2 linked regions of the Arabidopsis thaliana genome follow. Each later gene encodes a partner of the first gene's protein in a complex. Each region holds a gene or a part of one and is shown in the gene's direction. Other genes may lie near its edges. The genes, in order: ndhI and NdhN.

The links.
Region 2: the proteins of ndhI (region 1) and NdhN are in contact, whole or in part, in a cryo-EM structure (PDB 7WFG), measured with the Arabidopsis thaliana proteins. Residues at the interface, in NP_051113.1 of Arabidopsis thaliana: Tyr44 (codon at 6,619), Ile76 (codon at 6,715), Asp77 (codon at 6,718), Leu78 (codon at 6,721), Pro79 (codon at 6,724), Val80 (codon at 6,727), Val81 (codon at 6,730), Asp82 (codon at 6,733), Asn96 (codon at 6,775), Ser98 (codon at 6,781), Asp100 (codon at 6,787), Ile103 (codon at 6,796), Glu124 (codon at 6,859), Glu126 (codon at 6,865), Thr129 (codon at 6,874), Tyr130 (codon at 6,877), Glu134 (codon at 6,889), Tyr137 (codon at 6,898), Asn138 (codon at 6,901), Ile140 (codon at 6,907), Ala141 (codon at 6,910), Arg144 (codon at 6,919), Leu145 (codon at 6,922), Pro146 (codon at 6,925), Met147 (codon at 6,928); in NP_200634.1 of Arabidopsis thaliana: His81 (codon at 2,066), Asp102 (codon at 2,129), Ile103 (codon at 2,132), Ser104 (codon at 2,135), Ala105 (codon at 2,138), Arg106 (codon at 2,141), Gly107 (codon at 2,144), Leu108 (codon at 2,147), Gly109 (codon at 2,150), Asp110 (codon at 2,153), Pro120 (codon at 2,183), Cys122 (codon at 2,189), Pro123 (codon at 2,192), Ala124 (codon at 2,277), His125 (codon at 2,280), Leu126 (codon at 2,283), Gly127 (codon at 2,286), Ile131 (codon at 2,298), Arg133 (codon at 2,304), Val163 (codon at 2,459), Leu164 (codon at 2,462), Ser165 (codon at 2,465), Lys166 (codon at 2,468).

The regions. Positions count from the first base shown.
Region 1 is NC_000932.1:118,198-126,251, reverse strand, and holds ndhI (NADH dehydrogenase subunit I), read left to right. Parts: upstream 1-6,489; coding exon 6,490-7,008; downstream 7,009-8,054. Other genes in the region: rps15 (ribosomal protein S15), read left to right, coding at 2,690-2,956; ndhH (NADH dehydrogenase subunit 7), read left to right, coding at 3,060-4,241; ndhA (NADH dehydrogenase subunit 1), read left to right, coding at 4,243-4,795, 5,876-6,405; ndhG (NADH dehydrogenase subunit 6), read left to right, coding at 7,345-7,875. UniProt on the Arabidopsis thaliana protein: NDH shuttles electrons from NAD(P)H:plastoquinone, via FMN and iron-sulfur (Fe-S) centers, to quinones in the photosynthetic chain and possibly in a chloroplast respiratory chain.
Region 2 is NC_003076.8:23,553,746-23,563,754, reverse strand, and holds NdhN (oxidoreductases, acting on NADH or NADPH, quinone or similar compound as acceptor), read left to right. Parts: upstream 1-1,753; 5' UTR 1,754-1,825; coding exon 1,826-2,194; intron 2,195-2,276; coding exon 2,277-2,393; coding exon of another isoform or gene 2,394-2,399; exon of another isoform or gene 2,400-2,458; coding exon 2,459-2,544; intron 2,545-2,622; coding exon 2,623-2,680; 3' UTR 2,681-3,187; downstream 3,188-10,009. Other genes in the region: ABCB25 (ABC transporter of the mitochondrion 3), read right to left, coding at 222-329, 476-578, 676-719, 800-861, 939-1,587; EMB3143 (YCF54), read right to left, coding at 3,383-3,575, 3,676-3,908, 3,988-4,197; FHIT (FRAGILE HISTIDINE TRIAD), read left to right, coding at 4,442-4,501, 4,584-4,698, 4,865-5,013, 5,116-5,214, 5,287-5,406; MSI1 (Transducin/WD40 repeat-like superfamily protein), read right to left, coding at 5,761-5,989, 6,081-6,176, 6,289-6,413, 6,551-6,703, 6,869-7,195, 7,299-7,643; TTL (transthyretin-like protein), read left to right, coding at 7,894-8,175, 8,256-8,357, 8,443-8,599, 8,776-9,209; AT5G58210 (hydroxyproline-rich glycoprotein family protein), read right to left, coding at 9,710-9,833, 10,000-10,009. UniProt on the Arabidopsis thaliana protein: NDH shuttles electrons from NAD(P)H:plastoquinone, via FMN and iron-sulfur (Fe-S) centers, to quinones in the photosynthetic chain and possibly in a chloroplast respiratory chain.

The DNA.
Region 1 (8,054 bases):
TAAATCCTTGGAGTGGACAAATTCTTCACTTAGCGAAAAAAAAATCAAAAATTTGATTGATAGAAAAAAGACAATCAGAAATCAAATAGAAGAAATTTCAAAAGAAAAACAAAACTTAACTAATAGTTGTACCAAACTGCGTTATGATTCTAAAATAATTGAGTCATCAAAAAAAATTTGGCAGACATTCAAAAGAAAAAATACCCGATTAATTCGTAAATCCATTTTTTTTTTTAAATTTTGCATCGAACAAATGTCTATAGCTATTTTTCTAGGTATCATTAATATTCCAAGAATTACTACACAACTTTTTTTTGAATCAACAAAAAAAATTCTTGATAAATATATTTACAAGAATGAAGAAAATGGAGAAAAAAAAAAAAATACTCTTTATTTTATTTCGACTATAAAAAATTTAATATCCAATAAAAAAAAAATGAGTTATGACCTATGCTCTTTATCACAAGCATATGTATTTTACAAATTATCACAAATTAAAGTTAGTAACTTTTGTAAATTAAAGGCTGTTCTTGAATATAACATATGCATAACATCCTTTTTTGTTAAGAATAAAATAAAGGTTTTTTTTCAAGAACACGGAATCTTTCATTATGAATTGAAAAATAAAACCTTTTTGAATTCCGAAGTAAATCAATGGAAAAACTGGTTACGAAGTCAGTATCAATACAATTTACCCCAGATTTCATGGGCTAGATTAGTAACCCAAAATTGGAAAAATAAAATAAATAAAGATTCTCTAGTTCTAAACCCAAGTTTAACCAAAGAGGATTCATATGAAAAAAAGAAATTTGATAATTATAAAAAACAAAAATTTTTTGAGGCCGACTCATTATTAAATCCAAAACATAATGTAAAAAAAGATTCTATATATAATCTTTTTTGCTATAAATCTATTCATTCTACAGAAAAAAATTTTGACATGTCTATAGGCATTGCCCTAGATAATTGTTTAGTCTCTTCTTTTCTAGAAAAATATAATATTCGGGGTATGGGGGAAATTCGGCATAGAAAATATTTGGATTGGAGAATTCTTAACTTTTGGTTTACAAAAAAAGTAACTATTGAGCCTTGGGTTGATACTAAGAGTAAAAAAAAATATATTAATACTAAAGTTCAGAATTATCAAAAAATTGATAAAATAACGCAGACGGATCTTGCTAATAAAAAAAGAAACTTTTTTGATTGGATGGGAATGAATGAAGAAATACTAAATCAGCGTATAACAAATTTTGAATTTTTTTTCTTTCCGGAATTTTTCTTATTTTCTAGTACATATAAAATGAAACCATGGGTCATACCAATCAAATTACTTCTTTTAAATTTTAATGAAAACATAAATGTTAATAAAAAGATCATTCGAAAGAAAAAAGGTTTTATACCATCAAATGAAAAAGAATCCCTTCGATTTTATAATCTGAATAAAGAAGAAAAAGAATCGGCCGGTCAAGTAGAACTTGAATCAGATAAAGAAACAAAAAGAAATCCCGAAGCAGCTCGATTAAACCAAGAAAAAAATATTGAAGAAAATTTTGCAGAATCAACAATAAAAAAACGTAAAAATAAAAAACAATACAAAAGTAATACAGAAGCGGAACTTGATTTATTTCTGACAAGATATTCGCGTTTTCAATTGCGATGGAATTGTTTTTTTAATCAAAAAATTCTCAATAATGTAAAAGTATACTGTCTCTTGGTTAGACTAAACAATCCAAACGAAATAGCGGTATCTTCTATTGAAAGAGGAGAGATGAGCCTAGACATTCTAATGATTGAGAAAAATTTCACTTTTGCAAAATTAATGAAAAAAGGAATATTGATTATTGAACCTGTGCGTTTGTCTGTACAAAACGATGGACAACTTATTATATATAGAACCATAGGTATTTCATTGGTTCATAAAAATAAACACAAAATAAGTAAAAGATACAAAAAAAAAAGCTATATTAATAAAAAATTTTTTGAAAAATCCATTACAAAATATCAAAACAAAACTGTAAATAAAAAAAAAAATAATTATGATTTCTTTGTCCCTGAAAAAATTCTATCCCCTAAACGACGTAGAGAATTTCGAATTCTAATTTGTTTCAACTTAAAAAAAAAAAATGCTAGGGATACAAATTCAAGATTTGATAAGAATATTCAAAACTTGACCACCGTTTTGCATAAAAAGAAAGATCTTGATCTTGATAAGGATAAAAATAACTTAATTAATTTAAAATCCTTTCTTTGGCCCAATTTTAAATTAGAAGATTTAGCTTGTATGAATCGCTATTGGTTTAATACTACTAACGGAAATCATTTCAGTATGATAAGAATACGCATGTATACGCGATTTCCAATTCCTTAATCATAAATACTTTTTACTATATATAATAAGTTACGGTATATGAAAACAACTATATGCACAAATATGAGGGATTGTTTTAAATTAAATCTTTATACATGAGATTAATTTAATCAATCACATAGATACCAATTATAGCGGATTCATAAATAAATTAACAGAATCCTTCTTTTTGAGATCTAAATTTAGATTTTTTTCTAAAATGAAGAATTAAGAGGTTGATAATTAAATTAAGATCCTTGTACAAAAAAACTACCATTATTATTACTGATCAGTAAAATTAATATCTTTCAATTCATATTAAAAGGGGAAGGATTTCTTTTTATGATAAAAAATATAGTCATTTCATTTGAAGAACAAAAAGAAGAAAGCAGGGGATCCGTTGAATTTCAAGTATTTAGTTTCACTAATAAGATACGAAGACTTACTTCACATTTGGAATTGCACAGAAAAGATTATTTATCTCAGCGGGGTCTACGAAAAATTCTGGGAAAACGTCAACGACTGCTGGCTTATTTGTCAAAAAAAAATAGAGTACGTTATAAAGAATTAATTAATCAGTTGAATATTCGGGAATTAAAAACTCGTTAAATTCAAAAATTGTGAATTAGTGAATTTTTTAGATCTTGAATTTTTTGATAAACTTCTTTATTCAGAAATCTAATTCATGCCAGAACGAATCAAGGAAAAACTTATGAAGAGACCAGTTACAGGAAAAGATCTTATGATAGTCAATATGGGACCTCACCACCCATCCATGCATGGTGTTCTTCGCTTAATTGTTACTCTAGATGGTGAGGATGTTGTTGACTGTGAACCCATATTAGGTTATTTACACAGAGGAATGGAAAAAATTGCAGAAAACCGAGCAATTATACAATATTTACCGTATGTAACGCGATGGGATTATTTAGCTACTATGTTTACAGAAGCAATAACAGTAAATGGACCAGAACAATTGGGAAATATTCAAGTTCCTAAAAGGGCCAGCTATATCAGAGTAATTATGCTGGAATTGAGTCGTATAGCTTCTCATCTGTTATGGCTCGGCCCTTTTATGGCAGATATTGGTGCACAGACTCCCTTTTTCTATATTTTCAGAGAACGAGAATTTGTATATGATCTATTCGAAGCTGCCACCGGTATGAGAATGATGCATAATTTTTTTCGTATTGGAGGAATAGCGGCTGATTTACCTTATGGTTGGATAGATAAATGCTTGGATTTTTGTGATTATTTTTTAACAGAGGTTGTTGAATATCAAAAACTCATTACACGAAATCCTATTTTTTTAGAACGGGTTGAAGGAGTTGGGATTATTGGTGGGGAAGAAGCAATAAATTGGGGTTTATCCGGACCAATGCTACGCGCATCCGGAATACCATGGGATCTTCGTAAAATTGATCGTTATGAGTCTTACGATGAATTTGAATGGGAAATTCAATGGCAAAAACAAGGAGATTCATTAGCTCGTTATTTAGTACGACTTAGCGAAATGACAGAATCCATAAAAATTATTCAACAGGCTCTGGAAGGACTTCCAGGGGGTCCCTATGAGAATTTAGAAAGCAGGGGCTTTGATAGAAAAAGGAATCCAGAATGGAATGATTTTGAATATCGATTCATTAGTAAAAAACCTTCTCCTACTTTTGAATTATCAAAACAAGAACTTTATGTAAGAGTTGAAGCTCCAAAAGGGGAGTTGGGAATTTTTCTCATAGGAGATCAAAGCGGTTTTCCTTGGAGATGGAAAATACGACCACCGGGTTTTATTAATTTGCAAATTCTTCCTGAACTAGTTAAAAGAATGAAATTGGCTGATATTATGACGATACTCGGTAGCATAGATATAATTATGGGAGAAGTTGATCGTTAAAATGATAATTTATGCAACAGCAGTCCAAACTATAAATTCTTTTGTTAAATTGGAATCTTTAAAAGAGGTCTATGGACTCATATGGATATTTGTCCCTATATTTTCTCTTGTATTGGGAATCATAACAGGTGTACTAGTAATTGTGTGGTTAGAAAGAGAAATATCTGCAGGGATACAACAACGTATTGGACCTGAATACGCCGGCCCGTTGGGAATTCTTCAAGCTCTAGCCGATGGGACAAAACTACTTTTCAAAGAAAATCTTCGTCCATCTAGAGGAAATACTCCTTTATTTAGTATTGGACCATCTATAGCAGTTATCTCTATTTTACTAAGTTATTCAGTAATTCCCTTTAGCAATCACCTTGTTTTAGCGGATCTCAATATCGGTATTTTTTTATGGATTGCCATCTCAAGTATTGCTCCTATTGGACTTCTTATGTCAGGATATGGATCAAATAATAAATATTCTTTTTTAGGTGGTCTGCGAGCTGCTGCCCAATCGATTAGTTATGAAATACCATTAACTCTATGTGTTTTATCAATATCTCTACGTGCGATTCGTTGAAACAGAAACGTTTATTTTTACTATTCCGTTTCTTCTAGACGAATCAGTTAAAAAACGGAATATATATTTATCTTTCGAATTAATCGAAATAATTAATAAAAGGAATTTGATAGTTATATATGAGTGAAAAAAAAACTGCTCTGAAATTTGCAGTAAAACGAAAAATGAGTCTCATTTCCTATGTACAAAGGTTAAACGGAAATAAACATAAGTGTAAGAATCACTTTACCCCAAGGTTGGTTGATTAGTCATCCTGACTTGAAGCGGGTTAAATATATTAACCGGTAACCGGATGACGTTTTCACTATCAGTTATATAGATTAACATACATGTATTACAAAGTGAGCGGCAATTAGGTAAAAGTGAGTGGATGGTTAGAAACACCAAAATACACAAAGAATTTGTAATAGAGATTAACCAAATTGAAAAGGATATTTAGGCCTAACATAAGATAAAAAAAAGAAGGTTAATTGGGGCTTTAAATTAGTAGAAATGATCAGACAGTACTCCCCAAGATTCCGATTCAGAGTATGCTCCTATCCACCGACAAATGTAATGACTATCAGAAACGAAATAATCCTTTATTTTTTATAAGTCTACCAACTTTTTTCTAAAAAAGAAAGAAGAATAGGAACGAAACAAGGCTCTTTTTTTTTTCATATATTTCGAAAATAAAATCGAATTTCTGTCATGAATAATAAAAAAATAGGATGTCTAATTATTTTTCGTAATCGAAAACCACGATGGGCTTAAATACTTTTTTTTTTTAGGAGTTTTTTATTAAAGGGTTAAGTTATTACTCAACAAATAGAAATTCAAATTTGTAAAGGGGTGAGATGAATTCCGAAGCGCGTTTTTTATTCTTAGAATTTGAGCAGACAGAATTCCATTGGTATAATTCGGGACCCCAGATATATTTAATCCATTTTAGAACACATCATATCCATCTAAATTATAATCTGGTCCTTAGATTTATTTATGGCCCCCGAGGAGCCGTATGAGGCCAAGACCTCATGTACGGTTCTGAAATAGCGGTGAAAATAGTAATGTTCTCGCCGACTAGGATTATCTAACAGTTTAAGTACAGTTGATATAGTTGAGGCACAATCAAAATATGGTTTTTGGGGATGGAATTTGTGGCGTCAACCTATAGGTTTTATCATTTTTCTAATTTCTTCCCTAGCAGAATGCGAGAGGTTACCGTTTGATTTACCAGAAGCGGAAGAAGAATTAATAGCAGGTTATCAAACTGAATATTCAGGTATAAAATTTGGTTTATTTTACGTTGCTTCTTATCTAAATCTATTAATTTCCTCATTATTTGTAACAGTTCTATACTTAGGCGGTTGGAATATTTCTATTCCGTATATATCTATTCTGGAGCTATTTCAAAGGGATCAAATTTTTGGAACAACAATTGGTATCTTTATTACATTAGCTAAAACTTATTTGTTTTTGTTCGTTTCTATCGCAACAAGATGGACTTTACCTAGGCTAAGAATGGATCAACTATTAAATCTTGGATGGAAATTTCTTTTACCTATTTCCCTTGGTAATCTATTATTAACCACTTCTTTCCAACTCTTTTCACTCTAAATTTAAAATGAATCTAATATATTCATTATTTGTTTTAAACAAGAGACAGAAACAAAGATAAAATTATTCAGAGATAATTACAATATGCTTCCTATGATAACCGGGTTCATGAATTATGGTCAACAAACCCTACGAGCTGCAAGGTATATTGGTCAAGGTTTCATGATTACCTTATCCCACACAAATCGTTTACCTGTAACTATTCAATATCCCTATGAAAAATTAATAACATCGGAACGTTTCCGCGGTCGAATCCATTTTGAATTTGATAAATGCATTGCTTGTGAAGTATGTGTTCGAGTATGTCCTATAGATTTGCCTGTTGTTGATTGGAAATTGGAAACTAATATTCGAAAAAAACGATTGCTTAATTACAGTATTGATTTTGGAATTTGTATATTTTGTGGTAATTGTGTTGAGTATTGTCCAACAAATTGTTTGTCAATGACTGAAGAATATGAATTTTCCACTTATGATCGTCACGAATTGAATTATAATCAAATAGCTTTGGGTCGTTTACCAATGTCAGTAATTGACGATTACACTATTCGAACAATTTGGAATTCACCTCAAACAAAAAATGGGGTAAACCCTTTAATTTGATTAAAAAAAGAATTCCAAGTTGTTGAATTATATTTATATAAAGAATTTAATTAAAAACTTGTATTGTATTTATATAATAATAATAATATTAAGTATTAAGGCACATTCTTTTAATATAATATATTCGTAATTACTTTCTTGAAATTGATAGGTTGAAAATACACTTTAGAAAAAAAAAAAGAGAAAACAGCCTAATACTAATAATTGTATCTACATCAATTCATATCCATTAGATTCTAATTTCACTCTATTTAGAAACATATAAAAAACAAATTTCCTGGTTAAATTAATAAGGTCATGAAAAGGATTTCGATTTTTTCTTATTTTAATAATATAATGGATTTGCCTGGACCAATACATGATTTTCTTTTAGTTTTTCTGGGATCCGGTCTTCTAGTAGGGGGTCTGGGAGTGGTATTACTTCCCAACCCAATATTTTCAGCCTTTTCCTTAGGATTTGTTCTTGTTTGTATATCTTTATTGTATATTCTATCAAATTCCCATTTTGTAGCTGCTGCACAACTCCTTATTTATGTGGGGGCCATAAATGTTTTAATCATATTTGCTGTGATGTTCATGAATGATTCAGAATATTCCACAGATTTCAATCTGTGGACCATTGGGAATGGGATTACTTCGTTGGTTTGTACAACTATTCTTTTTTTATTAATGTCTACTATTCTCGATACGTCATGGTACGGGGTTATTTGGACTACAAAATTAAACCAGATTCTAGAGCAAGATTTAATAAGTAATAGTCAACAAATAGGAATTCATTTATCAACAGATTTTTTTCTGCCATTTGAACTCATTTCAATAATTCTTTTAGTTGCTTTGATAGGTGCAATTTCTGTGGCTCGTCAATAAAAAATGTTCTAAATTATTAAAGACCAAAGAAAACTTTGTGTATGTTATGATTTTTTCCGTTCATTCAATTAAATTTGATTGAATACTATTTCATATTTTAAGGATCAATTTTTATATTTGATATATATTTGTATTTGATATATATTTGAAAATTTTTTTTACCTAAATATTTTTTTTAT
Region 2 (10,009 bases), on another chromosome or scaffold:
ATACATCATCAAACCTAATATCACAACTAGAATGATTTAAGCCGATCCAAAGAGTTGATACAGTTAAGATTAGAGAAGCTTAGTAACGAATTCCAGAACAATGTATACTATAGTAGTTTCTTAAATAAAATATCACAGTTATTGCTGGATTATCATGATAATAACGCAAGTATTGCATTATAGTTGGCATTGAAAAGAGAATACCGAAAAAGGCACAGTACCTGTGTCACAGCTAATGTGAAAACGATATATGATCCAACGGAGAGAGAAGTAATCCAGGCAAAAGCAGCTCCAAACTTGTATGCCAGTATACCTGATACCATAGATATCTGAAAGATACATATTAATTACGTCGAGTGTTTTTAGAGACGAATGAATAGTGAAATCCAAATATGAATGAGCAACTGCCAATTATTCAAAATGAGAAAAAAAACAATGATCATGAGAAAGCACCAAGTGGTCAGACAAGCTTTACCTCCAATATGGTAGGAACAACATTGAAAACCATAGCTGAGAGGATAAAATTTATTGCACGGCTACCACGATCAATAATCCTGTTCAAGCCGCCTGTTTCTCGACTGGACATAAGCAATTAAGTAAGGAAGTTATGATGAGATGAATCTAAGATGGAATGAGCGAGACTACTCACAAGAGTAAGAGAGGAGAGATAGATACCTTAGGTGGTAACGAAGGTCAAGATCATGTAAATGTGAGAACACCTGCAAAGCGACCATATGAAATTGATTCATACATTAAAATATCTCTATCGACAAGATAGTTTAGAGCAGCAGCAGCATACCTTTCTAGAAACAGATCGTATTGTTCGGAGAGCTACCTTAGAGAACACAGCAGTACGAAGTTCTGCGATGATGAAAAGTAACAACCAAGAGTGAAAAGTGCATTCTTTTTTAAAGAAAACTAGAGCTATTGAGAGTTACCATTAAAAGCAGAAGAACCCGTCCGAGCAATCCCGTATCCAATGAGAACAGCAGCAGGAGTAGCAAAAACAGTAAGAAGAGTTGGGTTTGTAGCAGCGAAGGTGGTAAGTGAGGCTCCAGTACCGGTAGCTGAAGCAAGCCAATCAACAGCTAATTTGAAGAGGAAAGGGACTTGGACATTCAAGACCTTAGCACCCACGAGAAAACCCAAAGCAGCGATGACCCTGAAACGGAATTCTGGATTGTCTCTCATCCACAAATAGCCAGCAAGCGTACGGAGAATCTTCATGTCAGCCATAGCTGAGTCTGAATCCGACGAGGTTGTCTTGATTTCCTTAGTCTTGGTGGTGGTTTGGTCTGGATTGGGAGTAGAAGTCGAGAAGAGACGACCATTAAGCATTGAACTCCGTTGAACAAAACGAATTGGGGATGGTGATGGTGACGGGGATGGTGAGTTATCTGAGAGGAAGGCATTGATAACCGGAGATGTTCGAATTGAGTTACGTCTGATGTAATTGGAGAAACCATTATGAAGACGATAATCAGAGCGAAGACTGTAGGAAAAAGATGGGATTTTGGGTTGAGGTTGAAGATTAACGCGACAGAGTAAGAGCCCAGGAGCCCTAACGAATCGAGATCCTCTCGACATCCCTTCTTCTCCGAAAGTTTCACAGACTGAATTTTGCTCCGGCGAGCTAGCTAACAATGTCACGACGTTCGGCGGTGCTTAATGGGCCTAATAAATAAAGCCCAATACATTTTAAGCCCATTAATGTCTATCCCTTTGTGGAGTGAGTCGTCGTTTCTCCACCATTCTTTCATCATCATCGTCGTCAAGCAATGTTTATTATGAGCTACTTCCACAAGAAGTCATTGTTAGTAAAGAAATGGGAAGCCGTGCAATATGTATACAACGTGTGGCACCACCGTGTTTTGAAGCCTCGCAAGTGAAGAAGATCAAAACAGTTGGTTCCTTTTTGGTGAATACTAGGAGTAAGAGAAGAAGAAGCACTGGTGTGAAATGTAGCAGCATAGCTGACTACATCGGAGGTGACTTGGTGAAGCCGGACATCGGACAATGGCTTCAAGACGTGGAAGAACACAAGGCAATCGCCATTTACGCTCCTCATGAGGGTGGTTACGAAGGTCGTTATCTTAACCGTCTCAAAATGCAGGGCTACTACTTTCTTGACATCTCTGCTCGTGGCCTTGGTGACCCTGAGACTACCCTTCTCAAGAACTACCCTGTTTGCCCTGTATGTCTACTTTCATCCATCTTCTACTTTAATCTTGTTTCAATATAATTTTGTGTGAACCATGTATCTTCTCTTCTTTTAGGCTCATCTTGGGAAACAACCTATAGCAAGATGGTATTATCCACCAGAAGTTGATTACAGGCTCGCTGCTCTTCCCCCTAGTGCCAAGGGTCTTGTTGTATGGGTCCTCGAAGCAAAGGTTTGAGTTTCTCTCATTTGATCTGTTCTCCCACATGCTCTTTCTCATATTTCCATTTCACTCAGGTCCTCTCAAAATCGGAGCTTCAATTTCTCGCTTTACTTCCCTCTCTTCGTCCTAACGTCAGGGTTATTGCTGAATGTGGCAACTGGTGAGTATATCATTCCTTACCATACACACTAATCATCTATGTTTGCAATTTGCATGACCATTACCAATTCCCCTGCAGGAGAAAGTTCGTGTGGAAGCCTCTAGCAGAAATTGCAAATCTAGCTGCACAAGAGTAACTTAATGGCACAAGTGGAGCTACCAGTGTATAGTTTTTCATGAATGCATCTCCCGCAAGTGTAGCAATACTCATCCCATAGTAAAAGTTAAAATCTGTATTTGTAACTTGGTAGTATATTCCCATGGAGTAGTTAAAGATAATTTCTGACTCTGCTTTGTCACAAATAAAAGTATGTATAATCAGTAAGATTGATAGGACACGCTTAGATACAGACTACAGAGCAATCCAGAAGTACAACATAGAACACTTGATTCAGCAGAAACATGTGCAACTTACTTTGATCAACTCCAGTCACTAGACCTAACGAGTAACAACATGTTCCGAGTCCACAAATCGTTTTGAAAACCAAAAAATTCAGATCTTTTGCAAAGTTCTTCAGCGAGTAGGCATATTGCCCTCCTGTGACTAGACAACTTAATACCTAGAGCTTTAACTGAAGGTTCTTGCCAATATTCTCGTGAGAAATCAACAAATATGGTCACCCTTAAGACTTTGATGGAGCTAAATGTGAGGATGCTTTTTGTTGTCTAGTTCTATGCTTAACCTTGAGTCAGTGACGTATCAAACAGGCAACTTTGAGTAATAGAAGCTACACTAGGAAAGATATAGACTTGGATAATGAGCTCAGTAGTACAAAACTTTGAAGCACTAAGACAAAGCTGAGATTGGAGAATGCAAAAACAAGACAAAAAGCAAAGTTCTATACTGCAGATTCTTGGGTTACTTTAGGCAAGAAGGTATCCCACCATCCAGGTTCATACTTGGGGTATGGCGCCACCCAATTTTTAGGCTTATCGAACTCAAGAGTGGTAGGATTGGAGGCCAAAGCTTCATCAAGAGAGGTAGCTTCAAAGGAATCATACAGAACACGATCCAATCTTAACTTCATAAACCTGCCATAAAACAACAAATTGCAAAACACAAATGCGTTAGATAAGGAGGGAGTGAGGAACGTAATTTTGAAAAGAGAGAGATTGGGATTAGGGTTCTAACGTGATCCAGGTGCCATTGGTGGAAACAAGAGCAACAGCAGGACGACGAAGTCTTTGAGTAATTTTGGGGAAATTGTCAAGGAATTTAGGCTCAATGACAAGCCAGAAGTCTTGCACTAATTCACGCTCACCGAAGTAACGGAGACGTTCAAACAATTGCTCCTGGAAGTGCTCCTCTTCGTCAAGCATGAATTTAGCGTTTGCTACCAGGAAATGGTACTTGGTGCTCTCTCCCTGCAATCATCCAGAAAACGTAAGCTGTTTGGTTTGATTGGTCAAGAGGAAAAGAGAGAGAGAGAAAGAAAAGAGAAACCTTGTTAACAGAAGACTGTTGCTCGATGGAGGTAGCTGCGGTTTTGAAAGAGGAGGAGAAATGTGATGATGGTAGAGACAGAGAAGGCGAAGAGAGATGGAGTTTCTTTGTCTGCTTGGGAAAGGAAGAGGAGATGAGAAAGGGTTTCGTACGGCAAGCGGCGGCGGTAGGCGGCACCGCCACAGTCAATGCTCCGGTGACGCTCCACATTTGCTGCTGATTAGAGTCTGTTGATCGAGGCAGAATCTGTAAAAATCTTATCTTTTTTGCCGGGGGTCATCCATTATTATCATCACTCTCTCTCTCCCTTTCTCAACTCAATTTTTAATTGATTTTAATGTTATTTGGGCTTCAGTAATGGCCCAATAAGGTGTTATGGGTTTCTTCAAGCCCGTAAGAAAGAAAAGGGAAAGGCGTTAACTGTGACTTTCATGGCGACGGAGGCGGAGCTGAGATGCTGAACCTGCAAGTAACCGGGAAGACGATCTTATCTAGTATTCGTTGTCAGAGAAAGGTAAGTTCCTTATACGATCCAACATTTTGTCTCTACTTTACAAGTTAGAAGGATTGATTTTTGAGTGTTTTGATTGCTGCAGATGTCGTCTACTTGTTCTTCGTACGCATTTGGGCCGTACAAAATCGATCCCCGTGAAGTGTTCTACGCAACGCCTCTCTCTTATGCCATGGTTAATCTCCGTCCGCTTCTTCCTGGTATGCCTCATTCCTCTCTAATTATTCATCGAACCTCTTCAACTTTCTTCTGACCTTCTTTTTCATCTATTTTTTGCAGGTCATATCCTTCTTTTTTTTGTGTGTTCTTCATTTTTCGGTTTTGTTTTGTAAATTGAGTTCTATTGGATGACTTTAACCAGACGAGCACATGTTCTTGTCTGCCCGAGACGCCTTGTGCCACGATTTACTGATCTTACAGCTGATGAGACCAGTGACCTGTGGCTTACTGCTCAGAAGGTTGGCTCTAAGCTTGAGACCTTCCATAATGCGTCTTCTCTCACATTAGCCATCCAAGTAAACTAAACATCTCCTTTCTTTCGTCATTGTTTCTTGCGTCTAAATCTTAATGGATTGGAATTGAAACGATCTAACTTTGGTTTCATGAAAATGGCTTAGGATGGCCCTCAAGCGGGACAGACTGTTCCCCATGTACACATTCATATCTTGCCTCGTAAAGGTGGTGACTTTGAGAAGAATGATGAAATCTATGATGCTGTAAGTTGTTGCATTTTGATCACATTCCTAGCTTTGGTTTTATACAAATCTTATGGTGGTATCTTCTTGTAGCTTGATGAGAAGGAGAAGGAACTGAAGCAGAAGCTTGATCTAGATAAAGACCGGGTTGATAGGAGCATTCAGGAGATGGCTGACGAGGCTTCCCAATACAGATCTCTTTTCGATTGCTAGTTATCATTTATCAATATCAAATCAAACCAAGCTATCCAGTAGCTTTAATAAGGACCATTGTGACAAGTGACTTTCAGTTTGAAATTTTATGTCAGAGACTTTGATTCAAATTTGTAATTTCTTTCTAATGTCGCCCAATCTGGGTATAAACTAAGAGTTATAGCTTTGGTTGACACTACTTAGTGAGATTAGAATCAACTCCTTCATGTTATAAAGAAAAATTCCCACTTGCTACCATCCTCTCATGCCTCATTTTACACAATGAACACTAAATACTTGAACTAAACAATAGCAGAGATGTATAAATAAATACTGTCCCATAAGATCAGTGCGCTTTGGATACTAAATAACAAGCTAAGAAGCTTTTGATGGTTCTTCCCCTGGAGCGTCATCCTCATCATGATAGATGTTTTCAGCCATTTGCCATATTTGGAGTATGTTGTCCTCAGCAACACTGGAAATAACCCAATCTTCACAAGGGTTCCACGAGAAATCTGAAATTTTGCTAGTGTGACCACCGTGAATAAACAGCAGCTCAGGTGGGCCGTCTTCTGCGTCCTCCACTGTCTGTTCCTCATCGATCCTATCATAAGACACCCTCAAACATATCAATATTGCTCCTCCATGACCATACATGAACATTAAACTAAAGAACTAAAGTCTACGGCCCAAACCTGCTAAGGTCCCAAACCATAAGTCTTCTACCAAGGCAACATGAAGCTAAAATAGTCTCGTTCTTTGGGTTCCAACCAACTTGAAAAACCTCCTCTCTGGAGATCAAGCACATAATTAAGGTTAGTGATGTTGCTGTAACTTGTAAATACTTCTTAGTAACACAAAATCCATCTCAAAGCGGCAATATTTATGGCGTATCATTCTTACTTGTGGCTATCAAATGTGTGAAGAGCGGTGCTTAGCTTCCGTAGATCGAATAATTTAACAGTCTTGTCAGTTGATCCTGTTGCCACAACCCACTCATTAAATGGATTGAAGGCTAAGCAGTTAACCTAAGGCATTTCAAACAACTCAACAATTAGCAAATACATACGAGGCAATATGATTCAATGGTTTTTAGTGTTAAGGAAAGCAAGCTTAAAAACCAGAAGTATTATCTGTATCTAAAGCTAATATATTGCAAACTCACCTCCATCGAATGAGCAACCACAGACTGTACTGGTTTACTGGCAGATGGAGAACGCAGATCCCATATGAGAAGGTATTGGTCATCTCCAACTGATCCAAACAGGTACTCATGTCTCAGATGCCATGCAACATCTTCCACAACCCCTTCATGAGCCTTAAGTTCAGAAAATAATCATCAGCAAGGAAAACACAGAAACCAACCTGAATATCTATCTATGAGCTTTCATAAGTGTAACTGATTCCGTTAAGTGGGTGCAATTCCTTCCTTTCTAGATGATACAAAACAAAACTAAAAACGAATAGAAATCCAAAGCATTACCTTAAAAATCTGCTGAGCGTCCAGAGATTTGTTTTTAGGAGTAGCGTTAATATCCCACAAGCAGATCTGAGCATCATCAGAGCCACTAAGCAAATGACCCTGCTTGAACTTACTCCAAGAGAGACCATATCCCTCAGAGCTGTGACCTCTAAGCTTTAAATCAGGATTACAAGCCCCATCAAGAGGAGGCTTAGATGGATGCTTACTGTAATCGAAAACATAGACCTCCGCATTAACTGTCTTGGTAGCAATTATGAAAGGGTTTTGAGGCATATAGCGAGCTCGATTAACCTCACCATCATGATTTATCTGCTGGATAATTTGTACCTACACAAGCAATCAAACTAACATTTATCATCCTTTACCTCGTTATAACCCTAGAATCAAATCTAGAAAGTTGGAAATGAGAAACAAAAATAAAAAATCGCACCTTTCCAGTTGCACAGCCAAAGCCACCAAATTCAGAGCGGTCATCATCGTACTGACGAGCTTCACTCTCGGTATCGTCAAGAGGAAGCTGAACTTGGGCTAGCATCAAGTAATTGGGCTCGCTCTCGGAGGTATGGGTACCGAGAATCATCTTCTGAACGGAGTAGTCTTTACCGGAAGGTTCTTCACGGTCAGGAAGCCATTCAACAGTAAGTGAAGGCCACTCGAGAGCGTGAGTAATAACGAGATCGTAGAGGAAAGGAGTGTTCTTCTTCCAGATCTTGTACTCTTCATTGATTAGTCGCTCCTCGATCTCACCTCGCATTTCCTCTTCGTCTTTCCCCATATCGGCGATGTCTTTGTTATTCCCGCCACAAGAACAAGGCAAAACCCTAAAACAGATCTCTTTACAAATTGTAAGAAACTTCTCGCTTCTGTTTCTGAATAATTCACATATAGAAGATGATGAATAAAAAAAGGAAGAAGATAAAGAAAAGGCCCATTTTTGAAAAGCCCGTTTATGAAAAGGCCCAATTAGATGACTTTTGATCTTACACCAGTCAACAGAAGTGAGGATTGGAGAAAAGAGAGAAAAAATGGCGATGGAGATCGGAGAAGATGAATGGAAGGTTTGCTGTGGAAGCTCCGAATTCGCGAAGCAGATGTCTACGTCTGGACCGTTAACTTCTCAAGAAGCAATATATACTGCAAGAGACATCTGGTTCAACCAAGTTAATGTGACAGATTGGCTTGAAGCTTTCTCTGCTCATCCTCAGATTGGGAATACTCCTTCACCTTCTATCAACTCCGATTTTGCTCGTCGGAGCGTATCAGAACAGTCAACCGCCTTTGCCACAACTTCTGCTTCTGCTTTACAGGTGATGGATCTTCACTTTTTTTTTCCTTCATCTCTTCAGTGATTTCTTCTTCTGATGATCAATTGTTTTCAATTTCTTAGGAGCTTGCCGAATGGAATGTACTTTACAAAAAGAAGTTTGGCTTTATCTTCATTATTTGCGCTTCTGGCAGGACTCACGCTGAGATGCTCCATGCGTTAAAGGTCAACTTTTGCATTTCCAAATCAGTTTTTGTTGAGTGTGAGTGAATGAGAAAGTTACATATTCATCAAATCGTCTCTTTTTCAGGAAAGGTATGAAAATAGGCCAATAGTGGAGCTTGAGATTGCTGCTATGGAACAAATGAAAATAACAGAGCTACGAATGGCAAAGCTGTTCTCCGATAAGGCTAAAGTTATATCAGAAACTGACAGCTCTAGCTCTCCTGTTTCAACAAAACCTCAAGGTATATTGATGATTTACCAAATCTTTTCCTTGTCAAAGTTTTGTGTTTGACTGTGTGGGTTTGAACCTGTTAGGATTCAGTATGATATCAAGTATGTGTCTTTTGGAATACAAGGATTTACCCTTATGGCTATCTTTGTTATCTGTGTGACCTTTTCTACTTTCTCGCTTTGTAAGATCGTCTGAGAATCATTGGAGGGCATTTGAATGTTGCAGCTGAAGCAAAAGCTCCCAAGAGAAGTAGGCCACCGATCACGACTCATGTCTTAGACGTCTCACGTGGTGCTCCAGCTGCAGGTGTTGAAGTGCACTTAGAAGTGTGGAGTGGTACTACCGGTCCTTCCTTTGTTCATGGAGGTGGTGGGGTCTGGTCCAGTGTGGGCACATCAGCTACTGATAGAGATGGGCGCAGTGGGCCACTGATGGATTTGGTTGACGCTTTGAATCCAGGGACATATAGGATTAGCTTCGACACTGCAAAGTATTCCCCAGGCTGCTTCTTTCCCTATGTTTCCATTGTATTTCAGGTTACAGAATCACAGAAATGGGAGCATTTCCATGTCCCACTGTTGCTTGCACCTTTTTCTTTCTCCACATACCGTGGGAGCTAGAGCTATGCTACTGCTGTCTGCGGCACCAACTTTCCAACACATTTTGTTTTGGTTGTACCACTACGGGAACATGTATCAAAATTGCTATGAAATGAAGTCTTTATTCGACATGTATAAAAATTGCTATGAAATAATGTCTATTCGAGTATTTATTTGGATTTGTAGTTCTGTAGAACAAACAATGAATTAGCGAAAATACGAGCTTTGATCTAGACTCATTGTGAGTAGGACAACGATAGTATAGATTACCATGTTAAACATCTTGGGAGATTCTATACCTTTGTACAAAATGGTCGATCACAAAACAAGCCTCTAAAACTGTTGTGTGTTTTAATCTAGACTCATAGCCAGCAGGACAATAATAGTCTAGATTAAGACATCTTGGTCGATTCCAAACCTTTGCGCAAAATGTCAAAACAAAACAGCTTCTACTGGTATACTTTACACACCTCTACCTACCCTTCCTGAGCGTGTCTAAAGCTCCCTGGCTATATCTACCCTCATCTCCAAAAGTTCGCAAATTCTTTCGCAAATGACATTATGTTGCTCCACGAACTTGACCTTTCTTTCACCTCACCAGTTTCCGTCTCTTTCACCTCACCGGCTCCTGTCTCTGAAATTTGTCTGTAAAAACAAAAGATATAAGAATTCAAACTGAAGTGGTGCCAATATGATCAACTTGAATGACTTTTTCTATTACTCAAAAACAAGAGATCCATCAATGAAGTAAATTATCCTAATATAAGGATCGGACCAGTAAAGAAGAGACCTAGTTGTATGCATTTGATACCTGGTCTCAG